2 linked regions of the Diceros bicornis minor genome follow. The protein of the gene in region 2 interacts with the protein of the main gene of each other region in a pairwise test. Links are inferred from orthologs where the notes say so. Each region holds a gene or a part of one and is shown on either strand. Other genes may lie near its edges.

The links.
Region 1: the proteins of phospholipid scramblase 1-like (region 2) and SLC35A2 interact in a two-hybrid assay, tested with the Homo sapiens proteins (2 studies listed by BioGRID and IntAct). The two-hybrid records come from large-scale screens. The link is inferred for Diceros bicornis minor from reciprocal best matches to the Homo sapiens genes PLSCR1 and SLC35A2.

Annotation. Positions count from the first base shown.
Region 1 is NC_080781.1:42,171,893-42,179,785, forward strand, and holds the start of SLC35A2 (UDP-galactose translocator), read right to left. Parts: upstream 3,197-7,893; 5' UTR 1,974-3,196; coding exon 1,883-1,973; intron 320-1,882; coding exon 137-319; intron 1-136. Other genes in the region: PIM2 (serine/threonine-protein kinase pim-2), read right to left, coding at 4,273-4,436, 4,531-4,707, 5,198-5,570, 7,744-7,794. UniProt on the Homo sapiens protein: Transports uridine diphosphate galactose (UDP-galactose) from the cytosol into the Golgi apparatus, functioning as an antiporter that exchanges UDP-galactose for UMP.
Region 2 is NC_080741.1:8,031,563-8,039,043, reverse strand, and holds the start of phospholipid scramblase 1-like, read right to left. Parts: upstream 3,355-7,481; 5' UTR 2,928-3,354; intron 1,827-2,927; 5' UTR 1,813-1,826; coding exon 1,800-1,812; intron 1-1,799. UniProt on the Homo sapiens protein: Catalyzes calcium-induced ATP-independent rapid bidirectional and non-specific movement of phospholipids (lipid scrambling or lipid flip-flop) between the inner and outer leaflet of the plasma membrane resulting in collapse of the phospholipid asymmetry which leads to phosphatidylserine externalization on the cell surface.

The DNA of each region.
Region 1 (7,893 bases), on a different chromosome or scaffold from region 2:
CAGTTTCACAGACATAGAAGTACTCCCACAGCAAACCCCACATGTGGGTGTGGGTACGTATACACACACACACACACGCACACTACGTAGAGTCTCGCCTACAGACCCCAGCGCAGCCCCCCTGCCTGGCTCGTACCCCTCTTCTGTGCGAAGAGCAGCAGCAGGCAGGTGAGACCTTTGAGCACTTCGGCCATGACCACAGCAGTGGTGGCAAAGAAGCGATCCCCAGGCAGCGTGCGGGCATAGCGGATGCTGAGGATGAGGGAGGCATTCTGGACCACCAGCACGGCTAGGGATATGTATTTGAGGCGCCGGTGAGCTGTGGGAATGGAAAGAGCAAGGGGGAAGAAGGAGTCAGAAGCTGCCGTGGTATAGCCCCACCGCCACCCTCTCCTCTCCTTTCTCAACCAGGATCCTCCTAGCCACCACCACTTCCTCCCTCGGCCTGCCTATCTGACCCAATGAAGGTCTGATCCCGCCTGCTTGCTTCTACTGCCTCAGCCACAGGCAGGAAGAGCCAGAAAGGGGGAAGTGGGCCCCACCCTGTCCAGCCCATACCTGGAATCCTTGCTGAGGTATCAGGAAACGGCTGAAGCAGGCACTGGAGACCCACCTCAGCCCCCTCTCTCCCTCTCCTGAGTGAGAAACAACCCTCCTCCAGACAGAATACCAACTATATTCTCGACATTTATTGACTGCTTACTGTGTGCCTATCACTGGGCTAAGGGATTTATATGGATTACCTCAACAGACCCCTATATCGCTCTGATCTCCAAAGGAACTATAAGGATTCTCATTTTATGGATGTGCAAACCGAAGATTTATATGAAATGATGCTTCTATTAAATGAGGGACTGTCCCATGTAAAGAATGATACCCCAATACAGGGAATGGGACCACTGTATAAGACATGTCCACCCCCTAAGGAATGGTCTTTCTCCCATATAATAAATTATTCCATTCCCTCACACTCAGAATGGTCTCTCCAGCCCCTCTTTCCTATGATGACTGATTCCTCCTGACCTAGAATGGTCTAGCAAATATAAGAAATGATTCCCCCACTGTCCCAAGGATTGAACCCCATATAATGAATGGTTATTCCACCAAGAATGGTCTGGTTCCCTCAATGATATAAGGAAATATTTCCCTACATTCCACATGGTCCAGTCATCCTCCCACCACCGCATCCCCCTACCTCCAGCCAAGGAGTTATTCCTTGTTCCACTCACACTCACAATGGACTCTCCCTACTATAAGGAAGGGCCTAGCACACTCAGAACGTCCTGTCTCTGCCATATAAGGAAGGACCCTCCGACTCCAACATACAACTAACCCTACCTCCATTAGGAAGGGACCCCCAGAACGGTCTCTCCGTATAATGAAGCACATCCCCATCCTCAAAATGGACTTTCTAAATCATGCAAGGAAGGACCTGCCCCACCTTAACTCACAATAGCCTCTGTCCCTTTATAAGGAAGAAACCATCACACTCAGAATAGCTTCTCCCTTCTATAAGGACGAACTCTTCCACTCGCAGAATGGTTTCTCCCTTCTATAAGGACAGACCTCACACACTCAGAATGGCCTTAGTGGTCTCAGCCTCCCCAAAAGAAAATACCACCCCCAGACTCAGAGTGGTCTCTACTCTCCATATGTGGAAGGGACCCCCCCCACCCTCAGAATGGTCTCTTCCCCGCCCCCAACACTCACAATGGTTCGTTCCGTACTCCCTACCCCCTCCCCACCACACTCACACATAGGTCGGTCCATATGGGATGCTGTCTCTCGCTTCAGTAAGGAACCTTCCTGACGCCCCCCCCTCCCCCCCCGGCGATCCCGACCCCCGCCCCGTTGCCGACTGCTCGGCCACAGCCTGTCTCACCCGCACTCGCGGTTCCAGGCTCCAGCGTCCCCGCAGAGACCGCCCCTGGCCCGGCCGCCGCGGTGGAACCGCCAGACCCAACCGCTGCCATGTTGGCATCTGCCTGGCCCGTCCCCTCGGCAACAGCAGGCCACTTCCGTGTCCGTCACTTCCGCTTCCGGGCCTCCGGGATGGGGCTGGGGCGAATGAGGGGCTGGCCCTAGCAGTGGCTTTTCTCCTCCGCTCCTGAACACGGAATCTAAGACAGCGGTCTCGGGATTTCCAAATTCCGTCGAGATCTGGAGACCCGGCACGCCGCCAGGTCAGCCTCCCGCCGTCCTTGCAGCGCCTCATTGGCCCATTCTCGTTAGTAGACCCGCCCTCGTCCTCCTTGATTCCGCTTTCCGTATCACCCGCCCATCCCGACTCCTCGTCTCATTGGTTCGGCTGCCCCTCTTCTATCTTGGCTATTTGTTGGCACCTTCTTCAGATGGCACCGCCCTTTCCGCATCAAAACTCGTAGGTCCTTCCCGGTTGGCCTTAAGTTCCTCTTTCCCCTCTTCTGGCGAGGGCCCGCTCCCTGGAGAGCCCGCGGGCATCTGGGAGGGCAATGAGACTTTGAGGGGATGGGGCAGGTGCGAGTCAGGCAGGTAAGCCAGCAGATAAAAGCAGAGCAGCAGAGGATATACTAATGAAAAGGCACAGGTGAGTTGAGACTGAGAGAAGGGAGGACAAGTTACTCACCACTGAGGATGGAAAAGTGAGAAGGGGACAGGTAAGCCAGCAGGTGAGAGGCTTACAGGTTAGCTTTTGGAAGCAGGGCAAGAAAGGGTACAGCTGAGGTCAGGACAAGTGAAACCAAGATAGAACATGGCAGGGCAGGTAAGTCAAGAGTTGAGAAAGGAGAGATGACAGGGATGAGCAGGTGAGAAGGCAAGGGAGAGGTGAAAAGGTAAGGGCAAAACAGGTGAGTACACCTGGACGTTATTAAAAAACAAGGATGGGCTGGAAAGATTCCTCTCAGCGCTCAACCCCGGGCCGTCCTCACCAGTACCCTGAAAGTGCTTTTCTTCTCCCAGGGGGAAGGGATTTATTTCCTCCCCTGGGACTGGGGGAAAGGAGTTTTCTCTGCCTCTGAGCTGGCCATCTTTGATTTGGGGATGTGTCCCAAACATCTTCAGTGTCTACAAAATCTGCAGTGGAGCCCTTCTGCACATACTGGGTGCTACGTAAGAGCTGGGGGGGATCAACAGTTTTTCTTTGTGGTCCTGCTTAAATGAACCCATAAAAGATCTTTAGGATGGCACCACAAGACTGAGGCTTCCTGAAGGCATAGGGATCCAGTCCATCTCGCTCTTGGCTCAGCATACAGTAGATGCTCCACAAATGCCTTGCTACATACATCTACACATGGCCAGTCGCTTGTGATTCTATTACATTTATTAAACAGTGGGTTTCCTTGCTGCATCCACAAATGGCCAGTCACTTCTGATTCTATTACATTTATTAAATAGTGGGTTTCCACACATGGCTTTTTAAATAATCCAGGCAGGGGGAGAAGGGAAGAGGACACAGTTGGAGCTCCCCTCCCCCTAATACATAAGTATTTACATTTCAGCAACTGGACAATCCTGGCTCAGAAGGAGGCAGCAAGAATTGAAAAAGGTGGAGGGGGGAGCCCCAGGAGAACAAACAATAAGACTTATTTCCCCCACCCCATCCCTCAAAAAAAAAACCCATTCACCCCATCCTAGTGGACTCTGGTGGTGTCCATCTCCCATTCCTTCCCAAATCATGGAAGTAGGGTTCTCCTCACCAGAATAAGAGCACTTGGGATAACAGAGTAGGGTCCCCTCACAAAAAGAAAGAAAGAAAAAAAAAAGAGCCCTGGGATAACAATAGGGCATTACCTCCCCCAGAATAAGCAACCCTGGGCTGAGGTAGGCAAGCAGCTTAACTGAATATGGGACCCTAGGCTCGGGGAAAGGGTCCCTTTGCTAAAATATGAGCTGCTGGGGTATTAGAAGGAAAGCACCCTTGCCCAAGTAAGAGCATTTGAACTAAGTTTGTGTGGTGGTAGCAGGAGGTGCTAGTGTAGGGGTTATAACATCACAATAAGAGTCCTGGGGCTCAGAATGAAAGTAACTTCCAAGCAAATAAACATCCTTAGCAAAATGAGAAGTCCCCGCTCCAGAATAAGAGGCCATAAATTCTGGGAGGAAGGCTCCTTAGCAGGATTGGGATGGGGACTGGGCAGACTTGGCTTATGTCTTCTGACCTTTGATCCCCAATCTCAGACCCTAGTAACACTGAATTTTTAGTGACCTGTAAAACCAGGTCAACATATGTCCATCTATCCCTGCGGCATGGCCATGGGATGGCTATTCCAACTAGTGGGGGCCTGGCCAGGACTAGGGCATCAGGGACCAAGCCAAAGGGGTGGGACCTCCTTTGGGGGCACTGAGGGGTGCATCCTCGGCTGGTGTCTGCATCCAGGGGTCCAGCAGGATCTCCTCCAGTGAGGGTCGGGCAGAGGGTTTGGGGGCCAGGCACCGGCGGATGAGGGCACAGCAGTCTGCAGGGCAGAAGCACACAAGAGATTAGCAGTTGCGAGCACTAGTCACTGGGAGGGATGGAGTCCACTGGGCTGGGGCCAGTGAGGGCCTCACCTGGGGAGACATGGGCAGGGAAGTGGAGCTCAGCCTCCAGAATCTCTTGGTCCCTCTCGAAGGGAATGTCCCCACACACCATGTCGTAGAGGAGGATACCCAGTGACCAGACAGTGGCTGGGAGTGCGTGGTACTGATGATGAGAGATCCACTCTGGGGGGCTGTACACCCTTGTCCCTGCACGCAAGCCAGAGGTTAGACCACTCTCTGTTAATGCCCTTCTTCCCACCCCACTCTCCCCAGGAAGTATGGTCCCCTCACCAGAATTAAGATAACTCACTCTATATGAGGGTCCCCTTACCAGAATAGGAGCTCTTTATAACAGCAGGGTCTCATCACCAGAAAGAGCGCAATTAAGATAAAAGATTACTCTCAACGGATTAAAGCACTTAAAAGTAGGATCCCCTTACCAGAAAAAGAATACTCAGGATAATAACAGGATCCCCTCAGCAGAATAAGAGCCCAGAACAAGGTGAGAGCGCTGTCAGAAGATGGACTTTATCAGAGGGCAAGGCTTGAGAGTCCCCAATATTAAAAATCAAGAACCTTATAACGGTACATTATAGATCAAGGGTTACAGCACACCTTACCACTGGAAGTCAAAGGTCAAGAGGCCATCAAGATAAAAGGTAAATCCCCCCCGCACTGAGATTTAGGGAAGCCTTACCATCAAAGTCAGTGTAGGGTTCATCATGAAGCAGGGCGCCAGAACCAAAATCGATGAGTTTGGCACAGCCCCGGCGGAGGTCCATTAGGATGTTCTCATCCTTGATGTCACGATGGACAACTCCACGGGCATGGCAGTGCCGAACGGCTGCCACTACCTGGGCAAAGAGGCAGCGGCTTCGGGCTTCACCCAATGGGCCCTGCTCTGTGATGTAGTCAAAGAGATCCTGGGCGGGCAAAGGCCGCTCGAGGACCAGCATGAATCCCTCTGGTGTCTCAAACCAGTCAAGCAGGCGAATCACACCAGGGTGTCCACCACCTGCACCCACCTTCCATAGCAGGGCCACTTCTAGTGGGCATGTGACCGAGTCTGACTGTGGGGGGAAGCAGGGAGAGCAAAGAGAACACAGACATCAGGCCAGCAGCTCTGAGGCTGACTTTTCACCTGAACTTAAATCATAGACCCTCAGCCTCCTAACTGTGTGGCCTTGAGCAACCTGCTTTCCTCCCTGGACCTCAGTTTCCTTGTCTTAAGGGCTCAAACTCACACAGCCACTGGGAAGGTGAATTGAGCCTAAAGCCTGTGCACATCTGGCATGTAACAGGAGCTCACTAAATATTTGAAGAATAAATGAAAGTGGTTCTTAACAAAAGGCCTTTGGCAGAAGCAGCAACTGATGAACACTACTGTGTAATACTTTATCTGTTTTGTTCAAGGACATCTCCAAGGAGAGTAGAACAGTACTTTACACCCAGCAGGTACTCAATAAATGTCTGTCCAATAGATGAAAGTATAGCATAGAGTCTGGCATGGAGTTAGCACTCAGTAAATACTATTATTGTATAATGGTGTTGGGGAAGAGGGAGAATCCCCCCCCAGCCGCCACCGCCCTTTCCCTTAAGGCTCTATGGCTGGCCAAATAATTAAAAGACAGGTTAGCAGGAGAAAATAATACCAAGTTTAATAACATGTATACATGGGAGAAACCAGGGAAACTGAGTTTCTCAACAAAATGGCAGAGATTCTCATCTTAAATACTATCTTCACCTAAAGACAAAGGAGGATGTTGGGGGAGGGGGGGAGTCAGTTGTGGGAGATTACCAGAAAAGCACAGTAAACAAGAGTAAGGTTATCATGCAGATTTAAGGCCTCCTCTTCCACACTGATAAGTTTCTAGAAATGAGGTCATCCCCCCTCTTCCCAGTAGGGAGGGAGGTACCTTTACAAATGGATATTTCCCTTATAAATGTAAATGTTTGTCTGGCAACTCTTTGCAGGACCATCTACAGAATGTGGCCTGGGGGAGACAGAACTTTTGATAAGATGGGCTTGTTGGTGCCTTTCCTATTGTAACATCTATTTTACATTATATTACACCCATCAAGAGACAGTGGCTCCTTCCTGAAACAGGTTTTCTATGTTAAATTCTTTAGGCAGTTTGGGGGAGGTCAAATGTCCATCAGAGAAAATAATCAAGGTAAAGAGATATATTTTGGGGTGGCCAAATTTTGCTCTCCCACAATGGTTTGTCTGTTTTGTTCACTGACATAGCTCAAGCGCTAGAACAGTGCTGGCTAACAGGGCTCAATACATATTTGTTAAATAGGTGAAAACAACTAGTAGAAAAGGACCTAGCACAAAACGAGCTCTCAATAAATGTGGTATTTTGTGAATTGCCTAGAATTGTGTCTGGCACACAGCAGGTGCTCAATATACAAATGTTAAATAGCTGAAAGTGATTAATTGCAAAGGAACTGGCACAAAGTAAGAACTCAATAATGTTATCATGTGATATTTTGTCATTGTCACCAAGCACCTAGAACCGTGTTGAACGAAGGTCTTAGTGGAATTTGGAATACTATAAGCTTTTATAATGAAGCAAAAAGCCTGAGGCATACAGTCGGTGCTCAATAAAAGGCATAAATGTTACTGGCCACAAAGCCACCCCACTCTAGAAGCCCCGCGTGGGCACACAGACTGCCAGAAGCAGCCTTCCTGCCTGAGGTGGAGCCCTCTCCTGGCCAGTCCACTGACTTGCACAGCCCCAGACAGGTTTTCTCACAGCGATGAGAATGCCGCTACTACGCAGGCGCATTTTCTCCCTCTTAGTCTCACAGGCTGCGCAGGCGCAGCTTCCCAGAGCCCGCCAGGGGGCGCTCCCGCCTCTACAACTTACCCAGACCCGCCCTGTTGTCCGTTAGCGCTCTAACGGCAGAAGAGAAGCAGCCACGGTCACCATGGCAACCAGTGACCTCTGCCCCTCTTTACCCACCAGCATGCCCTGCGGGCAGCCCCTGAAGCAGTGTTTGGAGGGAGCATGAGAAAGGGGGTTTGGAGGGGAGAATCCAGGGCTCTAGGAGAACTGGGGTGAGTCAGAACTGTATGGAGGTGTGGATGTCACCATAGGGGAGTAAACATGGGCTGGTAGGAGTATTCTCCTCACCATTACAGGGCCCAAGGAGTCACAGGAGCGTAGAAAGGCAAGGGGGTAAGTCCATCGTCAGAGATGGCGTCGCCAGGTCAGGAAGGACTCCAAAGATACTCACCAAGGGGGACCAGCCCAGCACACGATTCCGGGGGATCACTTTGATGGCCACCTGGAGAAGACGGCTGAGGTGAGGGGGCCAGCAAATTATCCCCCCCAGACCCCTCCCAGTCTTGACTCACACCCTAGTCTTTCTGGTCCTAAGCACACC
Region 2 (7,481 bases):
TTCTTTTGGAATCAAGGGGACATGGCATCAATACAGAAGAAAATGTTGGTGAAACTTTCAATCTGATACATTTTCTATATATTTCTCTATCAAGAGCCTTCAAAGACCACTCGACATGTGGTTTCAGCAGGAAGGCTGAATTGTGGGCCCCCTTTCTCCTCCATTCACTTAGCTTCATAATAACTTCAGCAGAATGGAGTCCATGGAGACTCTGCACATTCAGGCAACAGAGAATCCTCTACTTCAATCAGCGCTGTTCTCTGAACAGACACTGCGACATACCCCGAATTACCACAGATCTCTGAAATGCCACAAGTCATTTCATCCCAGCCATTCCCTTCTGTTTCTGGTCTTCAGGTCGTGGCCTAGCTCCTAGTTCTCTAGCTCTCAAGGCTCTGCTCACGGCCCCCACTCCCAACCCAAGCTGGAAACTACAAGATCAGACTCAACAGATCTCAAGGAAACACACTGCAAGTCAGACTTAAAGACCTACCCTGAATTGATACGTCGTATTTTGGTATCTCTTAACAGTACCGTTGTTTGAACAAATACACACACATATACAGGAGCTGACAGATTCAAGAAATTAAGAGCTCATAATCTCTGGAGTTTTGGTACCAGAGCAATGATCCTGGTTTTAGGAATTCAGGGAAATTCATACAAAGAGAAAATAAGTGAATGGGCAAGGGGTCAAGTAGACCAAAGAGTATACGAATTATGGATGGGTTTCTGCATGTGTGAAATGCAACTTGAAATAACTTACAAAAATCACATTGCCTTAAAGCTATTTTACTTTTACTTCTCTATATATGTATATTTACATATATACATACATTTTATTTATTTCTATTTATGCTCACACACACACACACACCATTATATACATGATGCTGAAGAGTTAAAAGGTGACCGTAGCCAAAGGAATCTTTTCTAAAGTGATGTGAAGCATCCTAAAGCTTGTAGCAAATAAAACAGTTTAATACTATACAAATTTACATTTAAAAAGCTTTGAGTTTTGTAAATAAAATTCAATTAATATAGCAAACATTAAGAGAAGACATGAAACTTCATGAAAGACAGCCGATGTTTCTGGTCCTAAAAAGTATGTGAGGTATCTAGCAAGGCTGACACTGCGGTGAGAGAGAAACATCTCTGTGGCCATCTAAACAAAGAAAAACAGAGAATATAAATCCTTCAGAAAATAGGACTTTGTTTTTCATATTTTCCCCGATATGTATTGTTTTTCTCTTCAGGATCTCTGAGAAAGACAAAGTCTTTTATTACATACTTGGTCAATACCTATCTTATTTAGAATTTTCTTGAGAGAGAAAAAGTCAGAACATAATAATTGGTATTGATTTAAATCTATTCACGTGTATATGTTATGAAATATATATCGGGGTTGTATCTGAGGATTTTATTACAACAGACTGACATTAAATTTATTATCTGTTAATTAATATGATTTGAATAATCATTATGTATATAAAACACACATAGAAAAGAGAAAACTGATCTGGATGGAATATAGTATAAATTATACGAGTATTTCACAATAAGCCTAAAATTTCTTAGGTTTATCTATGGCTTTTTTATTCTTAAAGGGAAAATTAGTGGTAGTGGATATTTGCATACATCTACTCTATAATCAAAACAGTAAACTAGACTTTGGATCCTGGAGCATAAACACAAAGCAAATTATATCCTTTCAGAAACCGAATAAAACATTATGACAAATAACACATTAAAAACAGACTTAACATTATGAAGAAAGTAAACACTTAAAGAAAACTACTTACTTTGTTTGTCCATGATTTAAAGAAGTTCTGAAAAAGAAGACAATATTAATAGACTGTCTACAAATTTACAGGTGAAATTTGACTGTTGAAACAAGATACTCTGACAATAACACATAGGATATTCCTCTATTCAACCTAGTCTACCAGAATCTGGTCATTTAAACCCTTCGGCCTTGACCCCATTCCCCATGGCCGTGGCTCTGAGTAGGACTTTAGAAGTTGTGGGTCAGCCCAGGATGGGGGACAATTTCTAAAAACCTTGGGAGAAGAGGGTCCAATGACGCGACAGCAGGAAGGAAACACTGTTAGCCTAAGACCCCACATCGTAACCAAGTTAAAAATCAGAGCCTTCCAACCTAGACAACCTAAACGGAGCATGTGATCCAGTACCTGGCTTCAGGGCTGGGCTCCATGCACGGTTCAACAGGACAGATACAGAGGTTAGCTACCAGGTCACACTACTGCAAAGATCTCTGGCTTCCAGGTCCTGTGGAAGTGTTCTGCCCAACATGAACAGTAAATCTGAAGAGGCCTGACCCTTTGTTCTATGGTTCAAGTCCTGCTGTTAGCCAGAGAAGCCACTCTCAGGGGTTGTCATAGTTGTAGCACCATGACAATCCAACAGAAACTTTGTGTATGGTTACATACACAAAGGAAAATGATACACTACAGGAAAATAATAATAAAAAACATTGTACTCAGTACTTCTGCCTTCCGTTGCCTTGATCCCATCCTAGTCCTTTCCACTACTACCCAGTCACTATTTTCCCTATCTCTTCACCTTAAATCCAATCCCCTGTATGCCTGTTAATTACAATTAACATAGGAGGCAAAAACGCTGTTACCTGACTGTTTTATCTTGGACCCACACACCAATATGATCAGCCCTGCTCCTCTCAGGCCCTCTCCAGTCTTGGCTGCCCCTTTAATAACTCCTCCAACTGCGTCATCCTAAATGGTAAATAAAAGGCAACTGATGCCTCTATATCCTTAACTAAAATCTGGTGTTCCTAAGAAAAAAACCACGTCCTGCCTTTTCTTTTAATTTTATATCTTTATTATTGCCTACTTTAAGCTTAAAATTTCATAATCTAGTAAAACTCTTAAGAACAATTCAATTATAGTCACCTCTTAATTAAATATACTCAAGAAGTTCAGCAATGGGTGAAGAATTCAGAATGGGTTTACTTGGCCTTGGAATAAAGCAAAAATTTTGAGTTACTGATTTGATTTCTTGAATTTTCTTAGAATAACAGTAACCTGAGTTTTCATTAACTAGTTACAAACTAACTGCTGTGGACCTCCTCAGGCTAGAATGGCAAAAAGATTAAAATTTATGTTTTTCTGTAATTAATCCATAACATGATCAATAAGCTAATAAACACATGCAACCGAAGTAGGCTAAAAGTTTTCATAGGCCACACTTCTGTTTAGGGTCTGTCATAGAAAGAACTATAAAAGGAGACTAAATTCATACATACCAATGCCACAATTACTTTTGTCAGCCTCACATTTCCATGATCAAAGATTATATGTTAAAAGTAATACCCATTACCTTAAAATATGCCAAAAGTACCTTAAGAAATACACAAAATGAAAAGACTGAAGTTCTGCAGTGGAAATAGATAGTATCCCTTAATTAACACACTGCACTAAACATCTCTGAAGTGTTTATCTATCTTTTGTTGCTCCCAGGATACCACTCTTTACTATGCTTAATTAAAAAAAATGTTCTACGGCCTTTAACCAATTTAATGGCAATTTTAAAGGACTACTGTTTCCATCATTCTCCCTTTGCCTATATGTCAGAAAAGCACTCATTTCAAGGATAAATCCTGAATAATACCCACAGGAGGAACATAGGCAAGTCCCTCCATGTGGGGGGGACTTTAAAATTATTAAAATAAAATTTTTTTAATTTAAAAAAATTAAAATATTTTTAATTAAAACATTTTTTTTCTTACATTTAGTTGTTTGAGCCTGGGAAGTCCAGTGCCAGTCAGAAAGAAAGGATGTGCCAGAAGGAGAGGGAATTCATAAACGAATCTATGCATCATATTAGGAACAGGTGGAGGCTCTTAAGCAATGGAGCACCACAAGTTCCCCAGTCCTTGCCGAATGAGCACCAACTACGCACGCGAGAGTACTTACCCTTCACGGCCTCAGAGATCATTCCCCCCTCGCACACAAATCAAAGGAAGCAGAACTAAACAGACTCTAAAACAGGGCTCATTCCTTCATATTTGCTCTTTTCCTTCCTATTTGGTTACATTATTTTGAGTGAAACTGTAGGTTTGCGAAGATGAGTATCTGTTGTCAAAACTACTGCAGAACAAAATCGGGGTCCTCACTTTCCTGTAGGTTTTAGTATTTTTGTGGTTACATGGTATGTCAACCATGAAAAATGGTATGTCATAAGCTCTGTGCAAAAAGTTAAGTGACAGGTGTACCTGCAGATGTGCCAGGTGGAAGGAAGCACTTGGGGAATAAAGATGTCCACCAGGGTCATCCCTGTCCTCTCTCACTTCCTATCTTAAGGATTTTTTGATTTCCTCAAACTTAATGGGTCTATTACAAGACATAATATCACTCAGTTTTGGAAATGACTGGGCTGAGCCCTGGGTGAATTAATTAGTGAATTAATTAACATGGTAACTTTTAAATAATGCTTTCCACTACTCCTAGTAAGAAACAAATCCAGGAAAGACTTCCAAGAAAGAGAAAATCATATTTATCCTGTACTAAAAGAAAAACGTCTCTAATAAAGTCATATTAGGTATTGTACCTCTGGAATCTTAATTACTTCAGGACAAATACAGAACTTCAAATTAGAATCTGATGGACTCTGTTAAATGAGAGCTTCTGAGGAGATTAAGGCATCATATGCTATATACATATAAGTATATCTCTGTTAAGATTATTCCCTCAGGCACCATAAGCCCCACTGCTGCTCTGGGCTATTTGATGATTATAAACCTCCACTACCATGAAGACAGAGGAACACTGCAGGTGACATCCAATTATGGCTCCACAATCAGTTACAGTGAAACCCTTGACCCATCTCTTGAGTTCCTGAAATTTCTCTCTTATTGCTTCCAAAAAGTATTAACATAAAATCTGAAACCCAAGGGGGAAGCATCCCTAATTTTGGAAGATCCTAAAACTACTATGCCTATAAACTAGGCATAAACTAGATTTGGATTATTTATCCAAATTTACTTCTTAATTGCCTAAGAACAAATCAGTTAACTTTTTTCTCAGAGTCCCAAGATGGGGATCTATGTTCCGAATTATTTTAGCAAAATGTTACTGCTCTAAAAACAATCACAGAATTCTATGTCCCTAGCTTCCCATGAAGACGTGAGAATGAGACACTAGACTAGGAGGGGAGGAACCGGGCACAGGGAGTGGAGGACCCAACACTTGCTGAGGTAAGTCACAAATTAGAAAATTTCCACGTGGTTCAGCTTATGTCTGTAGGTAAATTTTGTGCATTTAAAAAGGTTTAGTTGACATCTAAGGACAAAAACATTTCATCTGTTGAACTGTGGTTTTGGTAAAAGATAAGCAGAGCACAGACAGATGGGTTTACACAAATAGGTGGGCCAAGATGGTGGTGAGAACTCGAGCACACCAGTCCACGGTACATGCAAGCTACGGGACAGAGGTGGGGTGGCTGAGGCCGATGGAGAAACGCAAGCCTGGTAACAGGGAGACTTCCCGGAAAACTCCACTCCTATATTTTAGGTTCAAGAAAACAAAGCAAATGTGTTCAGAACCATTTTGGATAGCATGTTATTGTAAACCTTGAAGAAAAAAGTAGATATTACATCAACTGGGACGAACAGAGAGAGGGGTGTCAAGGGGTCTACAAGTAAACCAGGGACAAAGGAAACAAACGCATCTTCATGTGAGTTATCCTAGGCTGGCTGTTTCCTTATTCCTGAAAAGCCTTTGCTGACAAGTGAGCTCCCTCACACGTTTGAGTCGTTTCCTTTCCTCCTTATAAGTGAGGAAACTATAACCAGGGAGTAAATGAGCACTCAACGTTCTACAGCTCACTCACTAGCTGAATTACAGTAACTCAGGACTCATGCCCTTTGCATTCATGTCCTTGATTCATTGAAAAAAAAGACATTCTCTCAAATTGTCAAGTTTCTTGGAAACTTGTTAAAAGACTATTTATGATATCTTACGTAAGGCAGAAAGCATGGAATTTTAAATTTACTCGTGGCCATTGTGTTTTTATTAGGCCAGGCAAAAGTTTTTTCTAAGCGCTTATTAAATTCAAAATTTGGAAAATGAAAAGCACAGTTGTTAGTATTGAGTAACTGCAGTGCTTTGGCTTTTTAAATTTAGCACTATTTAAGAAAGTGCAGTACAGACACATATATATAAAGGCATGTGTACATATATAGACATGTATGTAAATATTCACTTAGTATAAAGCTTGTGCCTTTTTTCAAAGAATATTGATTGAAGGCCTAGAGCATGTAAGGCAATGTAACAACCACTAGAACAGAATGACTGACAATTAACAATATACGATTACAAATACTCTAAGTGCTGTGAAAAATCATAATGGCGCTCTAAGAAAGAGTTATGAGGGCACTCATTTAGATTGGGGGCGGCTTGTCAAGAAAGTCAGAGCAGAAGGAAGTCTAAAATCAACCAACCAGACCATGGAGGTGTTGGGGGCGGGGGAGGGGAGAGGCATTATAGACAGAGGGGACAGAGGAGACTGCATAAGTGGAAGTCCTGTGGCAGGAAGGAGCTTGGCTCATTCAAGGGAATGAAAGGTCTGTGTGTTACAGAGCAAAAGAGGAAGAGACCACTCGACATAGGGCTGGAGAGGGGTACAGGGGACAGTTCTTGCACCTTTAATGGCTCTCCACCTATACTCTAAGCTCTCAAAGGCCAGATCACTGCCTGTCTTGTCCAGGACAAGACACTTAATTGGTGCTTGTTGATTCAACAATGTGTGTACAGTATTATTTCACTCCTTTCTGTTGGAAAGAACAGTTCCCTTACAGATGCGAAGGCTGCTTAATCTGTAACCAACCATTTTACCTGTCTCTTCTCCACCCCACTGTGGAAATCCACTTACTTCTCTTTTCATTTATGTTTCACTTCCTTGTGTATTGTATACACCCTTGTGTAAGGTGCACTAAGAGAAAGTTCTGCTGTGACCAAAGTTCAAGAAAAAGGGGGCCCAAAATCACTTGACACTTCCTATTAAGCAAGTGACAATTGTACTAACCCCGTACCTCCTCTTGCTACACTAGGAGAAACAATGACTGTTCCTGGGACAGGAAAGTAGCCACCCCAGGCCTTCCAGTAATAACTGTATAAATCAGATCACGTGGAAACTAGATGGTGTGCTTGGGGAAGAAGGGACTTTGTCAAATAGCAATAAAAACTAACTTTTATTGGGTATTTTCTGTAGTGCCAGACACTACTCTAACCACGTCACAGTAATACATGTCTTACTGTAACTCTTGTAACTCTTTCTAATCGTTACACGATTTCAGTGGTGATGCGTGGAAGAAACTGATGCGAAGGAACTGGCCTGAACCCCACAGATAGTAGCAGAGGCAGGAATCAGCCCATGCAAGTGGGCTCCCGAGCTAATGGTCTAGCCTCTCTGCTAGAAACCTACTCTGTCTTTGCAATCCTGGTGTT